2 linked regions of the Drosophila melanogaster genome follow. Changing the gene in region 2 together with the main gene of any one other region gives a genetic interaction. Each region holds a gene or a part of one and is shown on either strand. Other genes may lie near its edges.

Region 1 (7,950 bases), on a different chromosome or scaffold from region 2:
ATGAAATCAAAAGTAAAAACAAAAGTGATAGCCGAAACCCCACGGAAAACGCACAGGATTCCGATCCCAGCATCAAATCACAGCAAACACTGCGCACACAGCGCACAAAGGAATGAAACCGAAGGATCCAGCGAGACAAGTGGAATGCAAGGAGGCCAGCGGTGGGGGAAATGCGAACCACCACAAAGCAAACAAGCACAGATAAGGGATCTCAAGGATGTGTGGGAAACAAACGAGCAAGTGCATCGGTATTGGGAAATGCAAAAGGATAATAGCGTAAAAGGAAATGGAAATTATGATAATTTTTGATCGCTCGGCGAAGGTGTTGTTCCTTTCTCACAGCAGGATCGGGTAACAGCAGCGCCGATATGATTGAGTGTGGGAAGTACTGGGATCGAAATGTTGGAGGATCCGAGTCCCTAAACGGCGGGGCGACACTCGACAGCCACACGCAAGGCAGCCGCAGGACGAGAACAGGCTGTTGCGGAAGTTATTACGGAAGTGAAATCAAATTGTGAAGAAAAATTAAAAAAGGGTCGAAAGGGAAAGGCATTAAAGTGGAAACTACAAATTAATAATGGGATATGAGGATGTAAATCTATTTGTATCTGGATACCTTATTCAATCATTTTCATTAAGAGATCACAATGAACACTTTAGGTCAATTCTAACACGGATGTTTTGTTAGCCAAGTGGTTTTGCTAACCAACGGTTAGCAAAATAATTATTTATTGCTATTTCATTATTAATAAATTATTATTATAAAAAAGATATGTATATTAACGCATTCTATTTCTAGGGCTTAAGTTTATTAAAATCCTGTAAAATTGTTCATTTTATACAAAGGCCATAGGACATACTTTTGCCACAATATCACCCGAAATCGTACAGATAACAAAAAAAAACTTGATAGTCGATTTCCTTGACTATCAAAAATTTTACTTTACTTTAACTTTATTTTGAAATATCGAAGATAATACCAAAGTAACATAAGAAAGTAAAAAATAAAAACCTTGAATATTTGTATGAGTAAGAATTTTAGGCATTATACAATAGTATATAGTATGGTGTGGTATATTAAAATTCACTTCGTCTACTTTTGCATTGATGAAGGACTTATAATTAGAAAACATATTTAGAATTTACAGCTCAGACAGATCCAGCCTCATTTTCCTGTGTGTAGCCAAACAATCTCTTCAGCATGTTGTAGATTATCATTTGTCGCGTCACTTCCGCCTCGTACTTTATATAGTCCTTGAGACGATTCTGATTATAGAGCTCGTCCAGCAGATCGAACAACTCGATTTCGAGGGCTCGGAGTGGGGCTTCCAGTTCCGGGGTGTGGGTACCAGCGAACAAGGCCTGCATGTAGATGGTGGAGATCTTCTCCAGAGCGCCATCCAAGGTGTTCAGAATGGTGTCCTCGGGATCGTGTAGGAGCTTCACAGGACCCGTGAGCTTTGGAGAAGCACGGTAATGGTGCAGACCATCTTCAGAACTAGATGCCAAACTAATAGCTGGCAGGATCGCCACAGTTAGTAACACTTGAAACAGATTTCCTGGCATGGTAAAATTAAAATTTTTCAATTAAATTGTTTTTATAATTTCTGAGATTTTTCAATGCACGCCTGAAAGTCACTGCGCGCTCTTGATTGCAATAATTTAGTTTTTGACACACTAAATGTGTTCCGCCTATTGCTTATATAGCATGGATTGGGAGCTTTCGATTGAGTTATCTTTTCAATCAAACTTTGCGAAAACATCGAACATACATGATAAGGCTGTTTCCGTATTGATTTGAATTCAGCTTCCGACTTTTCAATGAGTTCAAGTACTATTGATTGTTGATGCGATCTTGAATTTTCCAATTCTAATCAGTTAAGAACCAAGGAACCATTAAATTTGGATGGATTTTTCTTTTGCAGCATTTTTTTTTTATTATCATTATTTTCACTCCATCGAATTTTGCATTACCTAAAAGTTAAAATTACAATCGTTAAATTAAAACACTAATATAGAAACGTGAATGACCTAATGATAAACGCTATACAATGAAAACTACATAACTTAAATAGAAACACGTTTAATTGTTTAAATACTTGAGCAGTTAATGAAACATTAAAGAACATAATTATTTAATGAACTACATAATAGTCGTATAAAGCGCTTAAACGAGAACTACACAAAAAATATACAAAATCACAGCTGAACTTAAAATGAAGAAAGCGAAACGGGGATACATAAAAACATATAGAAATCGTTGAAACTTAATGGGGTTCTAAAGCATTGAAGTGATCTTTGAAAAAATTGCAATGAAATAAATTAACAATGTATAAACGTAACATAGAAGTGGCCTGTGCGGTTGATCTACCACGGCCTCCAAGCGGAGCTCGACTTTTCGATGGCGCCAGCTAGGAATTTCTTGGACGAGGGCTCGTCCAGGGAGCAGTCGCTGGACTCGGCCTCCGCCTCCCTGTCGCGCTTGGCGATTCCGCTGGTGGAGCTCACTTGCTGTTGCTGCAAGTGGGCCAGCGGTCGCGAGCATCCGCTGCTGTCGTGGCTTCCGGCACTCAAGTTGAGGGATCCGCTGGTGTTGAAGGAGGTCTCCGCGCTGGTTGGTGGCGGAGTTGAGAAGACGCCGGCGAAACTGTGCTTGCTCATCACATCCACGGTGGGCGAGGCAGCCCGGGACTCCTCGCAGTGGCTGGAGATGGAGGAGATTGGGCTCAGCGGTGGGCTTGTGCTGTTCTTCACCGGCAGCTGCGTTTGGCCGGGCAGTGTGTGGATGAGGTTTTCCGGAAGATTGGCCGGAACTGAGGTATTGACCGGTTTGCTGAACGCGCTCATCCTGAAGCTCTGTGTATAGTCATTTAGATGTGTGGGATTGGCAATGCTGGCCAAGGCGGCACTGGCTGTTCCAGCTGCGACTCCCGCTGCAGATCCTGGCCAGGCAAAGGGTCCCGGAGGCGGAGCAGCGGAACCTGTGTTCGGCATGATGAGGGCAAACTCTCCCGAGGGCAGGCGGGAGGGAATTAGCTGAAGTCCACCCATTTGGATGGCCGGAGCCGATGACTCCGTGCGGCTGTTGTTGTTCAAGTCCTGCGGCAACGAGGGAAACAGCGGAGTGGGAGCAGCCGTGACAGCTGTGGCGGGAAACAAGCCACCACGGTATCCATTGCTGAAGTTGCTCATCGAACCGATCTGCTCCAGACTATTGGCACACTGGTTAAGATGGGCGCTGAGCCGCTGACGAACACCGGTATCGATGCCATCCATTTGGCTTACATAGCGGTTCACCTCCTCCGCGCACTCAACGAATCCCGTCTTGAACTTCTGGACAACGCTGGGATCCGATTGGATGGCCATGTTGAGCTGCTGGCGCTGCACCGACTGCAGATGCTTCACCGTCATCTCAAGTATGTCGGCCTTCTCCAGTTTGGTATGACGAGCCGGCTAAAAGTATAGAAGACGAAGGAACCAAAGTCAGATAATGATGAAATGGGGATGGGGTGGGAGATGGTCGGGCTAATTGTTTGGGGCCCTACAACAAGTTCAATAGCTTGGGAAAAAGCGAAGTTAAGAAGCACGTTTCGTGCCTCATATGTCCAACTATTCGCGTGTAATCTGCAGTCCACTTCAGTCGAGTCCACTCTGTAAATATCACACGACCAAGGTGAGATTCAGCAACTCCAGCGAGAAGAACGACTGATCTTGCTACTGTGCACTGAGCAAAAAGGGGGCTTAAAGTCAAATTTTCTGGCAAGTGAATACTAATGATGGAAAAGTGACTGTCTTTAGTAAGTGGTTCTAAAATAAACTACTCGCCGATCTTATCGTTTGTGATCTCATATGAAGACTTTTTGGGCACAGAAGATTCCAAATCGTTCTTCCTGATCTTCTTTTTTCGCGCAGTGCGATCTTCGCCAGTCTTCGGTCCCCGATTGTTCGTCCCTTTCTCGCCGCTGGGACTGCATATTTTAGCAAAAGGTTCCCACGCAGGTCGCTCGCCAGCCCCGCCCCCTCAACCTCCCCCGCTCCCCTGTCTGAACCTTTTGTTTACTTTTGCTTTTTTCCCTCAATGTCTTTCTTATTTGATTTTTGGTCCGGCTCTCCTGCAGAATTCTGCGGCGGCAAATTTTACTTGATTTCTGCTTTGTAGTTTCTCACAGCAGGATCACTCCTTGGAAACTGGTTTCGTTCGCATCTCCGGCGATTTCTGCGTAATTCCTCGACTTGTTAACACTTTTTGGTCTCTTGACTGACTCCTCGTCGGCGCTCTAGTGTAATGATCATCAATAAAATTTAATACTCAATTAGAGCCCTTGGTTTGTGTTTTTTTTTTCAGTTCTTGTGTCGTAGGAGTTCGTTTTTTATACATTTTTTTGTTCTTTTGTAGTTCTGCCGCCCTTCGGACACTTGTGCCTTAAAGGTTTTTTTTTGTGGACTAACATTATTTATAAGAAAGTGAACCAAAAGGGATCGGGGGCTAGTTTCTAATTCGCGGGCGGACCGCTCCTTTTCTGCTTTGACGCTCGGGCAAGATACTTACGTCTTTTTTCATCGCCTCCAGGATAAGGGACTTCAGTTCGTTGAGGCAGTGATTAATGCGAGCTCGGCGACGTTTCTCCATAATCGGTTTGTTGGTCTAGAAAAGAAAGGGAATCAATTAGTTTATTTCGTAGGAATTTATTTCAGTTTAAGGGATATCTTTGTTTATATAAAACAAGGGTTTCACTTGATTTTTAAAATTAATTTAATGCTTTACATTTTCTAAGCCATTAAAATGAAAAGGTTCAAAACGATCGAGGGTGCTAATAAACTCTGCTATTTTTTAGTTTGCGAGTCCAATTTCATCGCAAAAGAGCGAACTCACCTTTCTAAGTTCTGCTTTTGACAATCCATTGGGATTGGACATGCGTCCATTGGAGCCATAGCTGTCGCTATAGCCGTTGGAGCAGTCGAAATCGTCGTCGGAATTAATATCGTTTTTGTAATCCATTTTGTAACGATTTTAATTTGTATATCCAAGTGGGAGATAATCCAAGATAGTTCGATTTCGATTTGGTCTTTTTCACAACACAATAACTTTGGTTCGAGTACGAAAATAGTTATAACAATTATTGCACGTACTTCTTAGTAATGTCCGAACAACAAAAACTTAACAAGCGGTACGCGTTAAAGATCGTTCTGGTTATCGAATCGTATAGAATAGTATTTTAAATGTTCATTCAAAGGAGAGCGGCAGACGACCGCGCTCGCGAGATGCCAAAAGGATACTGATCCTCCGAGTCCACGGGCACCAGCTAAAAACGAATCGGGTCGAAGCCGAAACGAGTCCACGAGTGAAACCGAGGGACTCTCTTACCTGGCGACGCGGGCAGCGGCAGAGGCAGAGCTGAGGCAGGTAGGCAGCCCAACGATCGCCGTCCGCAGACTGAGAACTTTTCACCGCAGCAGCGCAGTTGCGCTCAATCGGAGAGTGAGTGAGTGCATAACCACCCCAAATCCAATGAGTTCACACTCGGAGTGAGATTTAAGTGAGTATTTGAGTAGGTATTCCCAGGCAGGCAGAGTTGCCGAGTCAACGAATTGCGGATTCCAGGGGATTAGTGAAAATAGGAGCTTAACTCAAGTAAACGAGACTAAGTCGAGCCTGATCGAGAAACAACACAACATTCGGTTAAGCCAAGTCATTAGCCTTTGGCTTGACGAAACCCACAAAATTTAGTTGATTTTATTGTAAAATACAGCAAGCATTGTATATTAAATAATTTTGAAGGAAATTAAGCATTAAAATCAATAACATATCATTAATGAATTTAAAGTTTATTACAATTTAACAAAAATTTATAACTGAATTTAATCTTCTAATTCGTGTCGAAGCCGACTTAATACCCAATCTATTTGTTTTAGAATATTCATATATTTAGCAATAATTATACAAAGCTACTATAAATCTTATGAATATTATTACTTTACTTTTTTTTACTTTTTACTTGCTTATTACTTTTAATGAATTGATTAAAGCAATAGTTAACAAAAATATGAACTATATTCAGAGAATTAACAGCGATTCTTCTTTAGTACTTGAAATTTGCTAAAGCAAAGCAAAAAATCTTTAGTTCCTTAAAAAATGTATCAAGTGAGATTTTCTATAAGTTATCAGTGAGTAGCATTATTTGCGACAGATGTTCCGTTTGTGTCCGTTTCCCTTTTGGGTGGCTGGCTGATGGCACATTTAGTCGCACAGATTTCACCCTTGGCAAGGACAAACTTGATCAATGCCCGGCGAATGATTTGCAATTCATTAAGGAGAACTCCTTGGCAATTGTTCGGCGCAGCTGCCGCAACCCCCGTGACAACCCAACCCCCTTGCAAGGCGAAATCCTTAGTTTCAAATTCTTCGCTTTTGCCTGGTCGGCTCATCGGCAGAAGCGTCTTAGGGGGTTGCTTGGGTTTCGGGACGGAATCGCGACTTGCAATGGATCGGAATCGGACCTGGATCGGTCGTGGGTCTGGGACTGAGGGTCGGGGTCAATCATTACGGAGCTTACCTGGCTGGGCCAATTTTTATAGTCGATCCCCGGCAGATTTTCCTTTTTCAGGCAAATTTATTACTTTACGATGTTGGCAGGATTACGACCAAAGGAGTTGTCAATAACCACTGACGCGGGCCATGCGCCAGCTGACAGCTGACGTAGATCTACCTATGGACCGATTTGGGGAGTTTTGGGTGGGATCGTAAACGTATTGCGCCGCCTGGCAACCCTGGTTGTGCAAAGTGATCCCTCGCGGCCTGAGCGTAAATCCCGTGTTGAGCAATAATCTGTGGCGATCATCCATCATGCACAAGCTCTGCAGCACTGATCCGATGTCAACTTTCGTAAATTGAATAAATGCCACGGCTACGATTGACCAACTAAAACATCCACAGCAACTAAACCATGGGGTTCGGCTGAATTCTGCACTGATGAGCACATCACCCTGCTTAATGGCGATCACTTTGGCTCCTTTGAACGCCGCAAATTTGGCAAACATTTTCCCACGAAACCCGAAATAAGCACGATGAGCTGGCAAAATGTAAAAGTGCCATGGGCCAGGGAGAAGAAACCTCAGAACCATCCGACATATGTGGATCAATCGTCTGGCGAAACGTGCAGAGTCTGCAGAGCTTCTTCAGAAACTGAGAATTGAAATTCTATAACGAAGAAACCAGTCAGAAATCAAAGTTCAATATCAGCCCCAAACGCCGCTGCTGCTGTGGCTTCTCCTCTTTCTTTCTTTCCTTTTTTTTCTTATTCCCGGCCCAGGGATCAAGGTAAACGCCATTTAGTGTGGCACGATCGCTGACGATCGGTAGCCAGGCTTGTATCTGTATCTGTCAGTCCTCCTTTTTGGGGCTTCCCGGGCTCGGATCCTCGGTGCGTCGTTTCCAACGCACGATTTACACATTAAAACACTTTAATTTTTATTGTACACCCGGTCGGTTGGGAGCTTCGATCTGTCGACCAGTGACGATCTACTTCCCTCTTTTTTAATCAATTCTGAGGGCACCGGCAGACTAAGACGGAGATGGAGACCTTTCTCAACCTCAAATTAGTGACTTTGGGGGTATGTATTTTTAGCTGTGGGAACTGCAGTTATTACTTGGGGTGTGCTAGCTGCAACTCCCCCGTACCTCTCATTCATACACATACATAGATATGCACCAGAAATAATGAGCATGAAAAATATGAAACGGTAGCAAATGTGTGAACTGATCCAAACGGAACTAAACCCAAGTGGATTACGGATGCGGGGGCAGGAGAAGAACTCCTCCTTTGGCCAAGATATATGTTGATTTAAATGAATTCCTTGTTGATTTTTATGGCGCTTAGCGACGAGGGGAAACCTGAGTGAAGTGTGCGGTCTGCGGGGCATTAGAAGTCGTGACGGGCCGCCCAACTATTT
Region 2 (7,084 bases):
AAAGACGTCCAAAAGCCGTATGCCAACTGCGGTGCCCGGCCGATGCCTTCCGATGCCGATAGATGCGATGCGATGCGTTGCGTTGCGTTGCGTTCAGTTCGTTCGGCGTTCCGTCATCGCGACACGGACACGGACTTTAGCAAACGACGACGCGTACATGGCCTCCACCAGGCCGGGGAACACACCACGCGCCCCAACCCTTCGCACCCCATCATCGACGGCCGCCAAAAAAAGCTACAGACGCGCAAAATGCAGCGAGCCATCCGAAAAAACCCCCCCTCCGTATGTAAAAGCATCTCTGTTTAAGTTTTTTTCCTTTGGCCAAAGTTCGCGCGCGCAAAAAGCACACACACACACACATGACACATGGGCATGGGGTATCTATGTACTTTGACCACTCGATGTGCGAATGAAGCGCGGTCCAAAAAGGGGGCGGTGGAATGGGTGATGTAGGCGGTCGGACCAGGTTGCCCATCAAGAAATAGAAAAAAATTGGCTCCAACTCTACGCAATGTCTACGCGCCCACACTTCGATCCATCCAGCCAGCCCATCACAGCCCAACCCCCATCAGTGCCGCCGACCCTTTTTCGAGCCGACCAACCACGCACGGCGTTGCTGGCAAGGAAATGCAGCTGCACCACCGCCTCCTGCTCCCTTTTTTCCCGGCCCCAGATCATTACGAGATGCCTCATCATCGCCATCGCCATCATCATCAGCATCAGCATCCTGGCAACGCACAAATCACGCAGGCAGCTGGGTGGCTGGGTGGCTGGGCGGCTGGGCGGCTGAAGGGCAGTTGCTTGCTGCACGTGCTGGGGCTCCAGGAACAGCTGCTGCTACTGCTGTGGATACTGCAACCCCCTCCCACGGCTGGCCATGTAAATTTCCGAGGCCTGGTCAAGTAAATAAAATGCAGCCAAGGGGGCTGGGGTGGGATGTGCGCCGGCGAGGGGGCAAAGGACTTCTAAAAATAAGCCGAAAAGAGACAACACAACCAAAAAAGAAGCAACCGCCTCAGTCTAGCTGCTTGCGGATGCGTTTGTGTGCGTAAGTGTGTGTGTGAGAGTCCTGGAGTGCAATTGCCTTGCAGCATTGCATCCTTTCGGCTGCACTCGCCACTCTCGTTGCGCAGCCCTCGCTCTCTCTTTCTCACCCACTCTCGCTCGCTCTCTCTCCCTCACTCTGTCTTTCTCTCTGGCTCTTTGGAGTTTTCCTTTTTTCCCATCTAAACTGTGGCAAGTTGGCGTCGACAGCGATGCCGACGCCGACTTCGCTGCCATCTGCTATTTACTAGTGCAGCCGTTGGTAAATGAAGCAGCCACCCAGCAACACCCCATCGCCAATACCACACCCCCCCCCCCCCCAAAAGCGACCAAAATCCTGCCCAGCCACCCACTGCCCCTTTGGCTGCTGCTATCTTCTAGTTGGCAATTGCATTGCCTGCAATGCACTTCTCCTGTTGTGGAAGCGGGGAAAGCCAGCGCGGTGCATTGCGCATGTCCTTGTTTACATTATGTGCATGCCTCCAAAACTTCGCGTCTTGCACTCGTGTTTGTTGCTGTGTGCGTTTGTGTGCCTGTATGTGTGTGAGGATGTAGAAAAGCAAAAAGTCTACAACTACAACTAAACCTGCTGCTGCTGGGGAGAGCCGCGTGCACACCAGCAACACGATGCTGTTGCATGTTGCTGCTGCAGCTGAACGCCGTCACCCGACGACAGGACACGAAGAACTTTGGGAGGAAGTGCCGAGCTCAATCGCGGAGAAAGACTTCTGCGATCTTCAGACCCACTGAACTAAGGAACTCCAAAGGAGACATTTCCTCTTAAATATTTACTTGTAGCAATTAATATGGTTATTATTTTGGCGCTTTGAAATAAACATGCTGTTTAGCTAAGTTACTAAAATTTGACTGCCCTGCTTTCTTTCGTTGGTGAAATAGATTTTGTGCCTTAAAAAGAGTATATCTTTGAATTGATTTTAACTTAGATGATAACATTATAATTAAAGAATGAACCTTTTCCTAATTTTTCTAATGAAAATCAATACTGCTCAATGTTTCACACTCATATTATCCATTTACTATTTGTCTTAAATGTCGTTCTCTTCTCGTTCTCTTCCAAAAATGATCAGTAGTTAAATGCTCACTGTTAATCATTTTCTTATGATCAAGCATCCCATAATAGATACTTTTCTTAATCAGAACATCTTTAAATTACCTAGATCTTAAAATATACGCTTCGAATGTATTTATTTCCCTTATTTCTCTATCTAAATTCTATAATTCTGAAAAGATAAATAAACCCCAATGAGTCAATGATTGATGAAAAGAATGGAGTAATGGTTGAAAAATGAATTTTTGATAGTGATCTTTACTTACCCTCAAATAAAAGTACATCGAAAAAATATCACATCACAACAATTTTTGATATTCCGTTTGCATTTAATGTTCTCTCTAAACTTTGATTAATTTTCTCACTAAGTTCCGTTTTTTTATGCTTCTTTTTTAATTTTTTTTTTTTTTGTAAATTTATTTTTATTTTTTTGATAAATTATTATAAGAAAATTTTGCACTTGTAAAATTTAGCGTGTAATTTTTGTTGCATTCATAGACTTTTTGGTTGTTTAAAAATTTTCAGGTAATTTCGTAGTTTTCGATTTCGAGTGTTGACTTCTGCTCTTCTTCGCCTTTTTTTTTTTTTGTTCTCTGGGGATCCTTTCCAAAATATTTGCTTGCCGAAATGCACAATACAAAAGGTGAATTAACTAAGGATCTACGTCTGAATTTGTAGAAACTGAGAGTGTGTCGGGACGATGACGAACCTTTGGCCGAGACTTGAAGACGGAACGGGCCAGACGATATCGAAATCAAATTCAGACGCTTGAATTTTTGCTCAAATCGGAATCGGTGCGGTACTGAAACTGGAGTTACTCAATCGTTTTACTTTATTATTTTGGTTTTTCGTTGGTTTCTGCTGCTGACGTTACGGACTGACTGGTATTGCCTGCTTATTTGGTTGCTTCTTGGCTTTGACTTGCTTTGTTGTGGCTAGTTGTAGTTGTTGTTTACGAACGAAATGTTGCGTTTGACTGGCGCTGATTATCAAGTGATTAATATTATCGATATTGGTAAAAATGTAACTTTGTCTATTTTGTTATTTGTTGTTGGCTGGCTGGTTTTGTTAGTTAGTTTTGGGAAATGAAGAAAAAACTGCTCTACATTCTAGTGCCGGCGCTTACATTGTCTTTGGCGCAAGCCGGCCGTGTGTGTTTTTGGGTTTTTGGCGGGTAATTTTTTGCACTCAAGACGGCATGGCGAGCGATGGCTGTTCGAGCCCCAGCCCGAGTCTTAGTTCGAAGGGCTGGCGGGCCAACGGGGCGTATGAGCGCCTGGGCCGCATTGCGTATACGTAGTGTGTTCCAGGCTGGGTGGTGTAGGTGGTACGTACATAGGTGTCTAGTCTTGCACTTCAAGTCATTTTGCACACACTTTCACTTTCACATTCACTTGGCACTTTTTTTCGTTCTCCTATCGTTTCTCTGCTTCGATGTCTCTCTTTTCTATTTCTATTTGTTTGTTTGTTTTTCTTTTGTTTTTCGGTATTTTTCTGTTGTAGAGTTTTTTCTTGGGGTGGCTAACTGCTTCTGCTACTGCCTCTGGGTTTGATTTATGCAGATGCGAAGAAGTCTGCGAGAAGTGGCGACCTGCCTGCCGACTGCCTGCCTGCCTGCCTTGCACTGCCTACTGATGTGCCTTGCCTGCTGTCTGCTGCCTGCTGCTGCCTGATCCTGGCAGCACGGCTCAGTTCGATTCAGGACAGGCCAGGACAGGGAGACAGCGAGAACCCGAGGAGCAGAAAAAAGCGCCGCAACTTGTTTCGCGTTTAGCAGTTTTCTGTTGCAATGTCCTGGCAAAAATTGCTAACGATGACGGGCCCCAGAGTCACAGAGCCAAAGCCAAAGCCAGAGCCGCTGTCGATGTCGATGGCGTCGTCGCTGCAGCGCGTTGATTATGAGGGACGCCAGCCCCTCGGCCGCTGATGCTAACGCTGATGGAGTAGGATGATGCGGATGTGGATACTTGGATACGTGGATACGGATGAAAGTGGCCGCTGGCCGGGCGCGAAACGCGCAAAAAAATTCCGCGGCTACGTCGCAGCTGCAGCGCCAACCGAATTGTCCTCGTCCTTTTTGGTTTGGCTTTGGCGCAAAAAATTGCTGCGACTGCGACGTCAGCGCCGCTCCTAGCTGCTAGTGTACATATACATGCAAACCTCGCACACAACCACAAACACACACACACACCCACTAGAACAGTGGGCGCACATATGCATTGCTGGACAAATCCAAAAACACAGAGAGAAACAGACAGCAACGCGCGCTCAGTCGCGAAAAATCAAAACAAAGCGCGACGACAGCGGCAGCGGCGTCCTCGCCAATACATGCACACTGCGAGAAGGACACGGACAATGCACATATCGCACACACACACGCTGGCATGCTGCCCCACACTCTTCACACTTTCAATCAAGAGCAAAACGCATTTTGCTGCGCCTAAAAATCAAACAACGCCAAAAAGTATGGAACACCCAAACCCCCAAACGACTGATGAGGTGGTTTTTGGACTGGGCAACTGCGTGGTGGTCTGTTTCGCTGACTGGGTGGCGAAAAACTGCAGCTATCGAGCCTAAGTGTACCTAAAACCCAGCCCCTTTTCCCGCCAGATGGACCATACCATTTCGCAGATACAGATACATCTGCAGGGAGGTAGTGTGGCAGCTGTGGGAGCTGTTGCTCCTGGCTGTGCACTGTTCATGTGCCCCATCCGTCCATGCATCCATACATCCCATCCGCACACCCACCAGCCGACAGGACCCGCCATGTGGCCATGTTTTGTTTTGATTTCGTGCTTCTCACACACATCCATATGCGGGGAAAATGCAATTTTTTCGTTTTCATTTGCAATGCCAAAGCAACAAAATGAAAATCGCAAAAAAAGAAGAGGGAAACCTGAAAGCAAAAAATAAAGCAAAACCCTAAGCGAAACGTAAAAGTTTTCTATGTTGCCCCTGCGCGAATGCAACACACATTTTTTTCCTATTTTATTTTGCCGCCATTTATGGGTGTTGGTTATTGGCACTGGTATTGGTATATCGTCAGAGTTGGCATTAAAATATCCAGCAAAGAAAACTGCAGCTGAAAAAAATGTAGAGCGTCGTCCGCACTCATACCCCGCCAAAAAGGATCCGCGACAACAAGAGCAACAATAATAGAGCCAGCATAAATTCCTACTAACTCATGCACATGGGGGTTCTGGGAAAGCGCATCAAAAAAGCGGAGAAAAATTGGTGGGCGAGTGCAGCGACAGCCACTGCAATTCTCTATGTACGTGCTCAGAGATATATGTGTCCATATATATGTACATATATATATGTATATATATATTATATATATGTATATCAGTGATATATAGACGAGGAGGCACAGATCGGAACTAGGCAGCGCCTGCATTTAATCCTACGCATCGCGCTCGTTACTCATACGCCGCGTATTCCCGGAAATGGATAGAACGCGGGCACAGGTCTGGGATGGCGCAGTTTAGGCCGGATAGGAACAGCAGCACCCACAATCTCCACCCAGTACATGAAGTTTATGGCTTTATCGATGGCATTGGCTATTGACTTTGCCACTGTGCCCGTTCTGCTTTTGCTTCGGGCTCGATATGGTTTTGGTTTGGTTTGCTATGGTTCGGTATGGTTTGGTTGGCCTTCGCAGGATATCAGAGAGAAATTGGGAATGCTGCTCATAAAGAGATTGCCAGATAGCTTATGGATTCATAAGTTGTTATGCACAAATACAAAGGTGGTGGCGTGCAGTAGGCCCACTGCCACCAGCTGCGGTTTCCAACTCCCTGCCCAACGAGCCATCAGTCCTGTCCATCCTGTCATCATTAATTAATGAGCTCGCGGACCGCAGCAGGCAGCTGATGACTATGCGCAGAAATCATATTAAAAGTCGAATAGACCTGGAATTCCTAGGGCATTTCGATTTCAACCGATTTAAATAACTGATCTACATATGCAAGTTACATCAAATTATATGCATTCCCTTAAGGCATTGCTCGCTTGGCTTGCTACTTAAAATTACGCTTTTAATGCAGCAAAGAACATATCCATATAACCAGATATATATATGATCTGAAAAAGTATTTCGCTCAGCATGGGTTTTAATTAAGCATATATACTTTTTTGAGGTTCATATGAGCATATCGAATGCATCAACATTGGTTTATTTAAACATACAATATTCACATCCCATTTTTGAATGATTACATAAGCCTGCCAACATAAACAATTGTTGTATCAAATTGTTACTATCTGGTTTCTAATCAGTCATCAGCTTACCCCCCATCCCCCCTTTCCACTTCTAAACCAACTGCGATCTTCATTAAATTCGCATTATGCTGCCGTTCAATTAGTTGAGAGCAATTCGATAGCAAATTAATGGACGTGCAAAGCTGGTCGCGGCCCGAAAAGCATCAATTATGCGCTCGCCTTCCATTGCAGAGTGTGGGGGCTGCGAGGGAGATGCAATCCCCCAACCAGAATGCCCACATAAAGCATTTCTAGTTTGAGCCTTTTGTTGCTGCAGCTGCAGTTGCTGCTGATGGCTGATTTGCATATTCCCCAAAGCGATGGTGATGCTGCTGCTGCTGATGCTGCTGCAGTTGCAGTTGCATTTGCATGCGCTGGCCTTTGGCTAAAAGCATGGGTCCGTGTCCAGGGCTCTTTATATAACGAAAATATCGCCTAAAAGGCTGGCGGGCTGGCAGGATGGAAAAAACCCCCGAAAATGACAAAAGCAGCGCGGAAAATTGCGCGAAAAACTAAACAAGCGGGCGCAACAGGAGCAGCAGCAGCAGCAGCATGAGGCAGAGGTGGTAGGGGAAGGGGTAGCAGGATGGCAGGGAGGTCATGCATCGCGACAGCTGCATTTTGGACGACGACAACAAAAGTCCATTCGAATGCCAGGAGATTGCACCAGTGCAGCAGTTGCATCCTTTCCCTGGACACCCCCTCCCCCCC

The links. Genes that interact genetically often act in the same process or in processes that back each other up.
Region 1: of pros (region 2) and dpn, changing one suppresses a phenotype caused by changing the other (phenotypic suppression), as found in Drosophila melanogaster (one study listed by BioGRID).

Annotation. Positions count from the first base shown.
Region 1 is NT_033778.4:8,227,050-8,234,999, forward strand, and holds dpn (deadpan), read right to left. Parts: upstream 5,282-7,950; 5' UTR 5,000-5,281; coding exon 4,874-4,999; intron 4,646-4,873; coding exon 4,550-4,645; intron 4,540-4,549; exon of another isoform or gene 4,055-4,539; intron 4,017-4,054; exon of another isoform or gene 3,454-4,016; coding exon 2,368-3,453; 3' UTR 1,922-2,367; downstream 1-1,921. Other genes in the region: CG34217 (uncharacterized protein), read right to left, coding at 1,150-1,566. UniProt on the Drosophila melanogaster protein: Transcriptional repressor of genes that require a bHLH protein for their transcription.
Region 2 is NT_033777.3:11,325,252-11,332,335, reverse strand, and holds the start of pros (prospero), read right to left. Parts: upstream 3,857-7,084; 5' UTR 2,380-3,856; intron 1-2,379. UniProt on the Drosophila melanogaster protein: Homeodomain protein that controls neuronal identity. As a transcriptional factor, regulates the expression of ftz, eve and en in a subset of neuroblast progeny and modulates the transcriptional activity of other homeodomain proteins such as Dfd.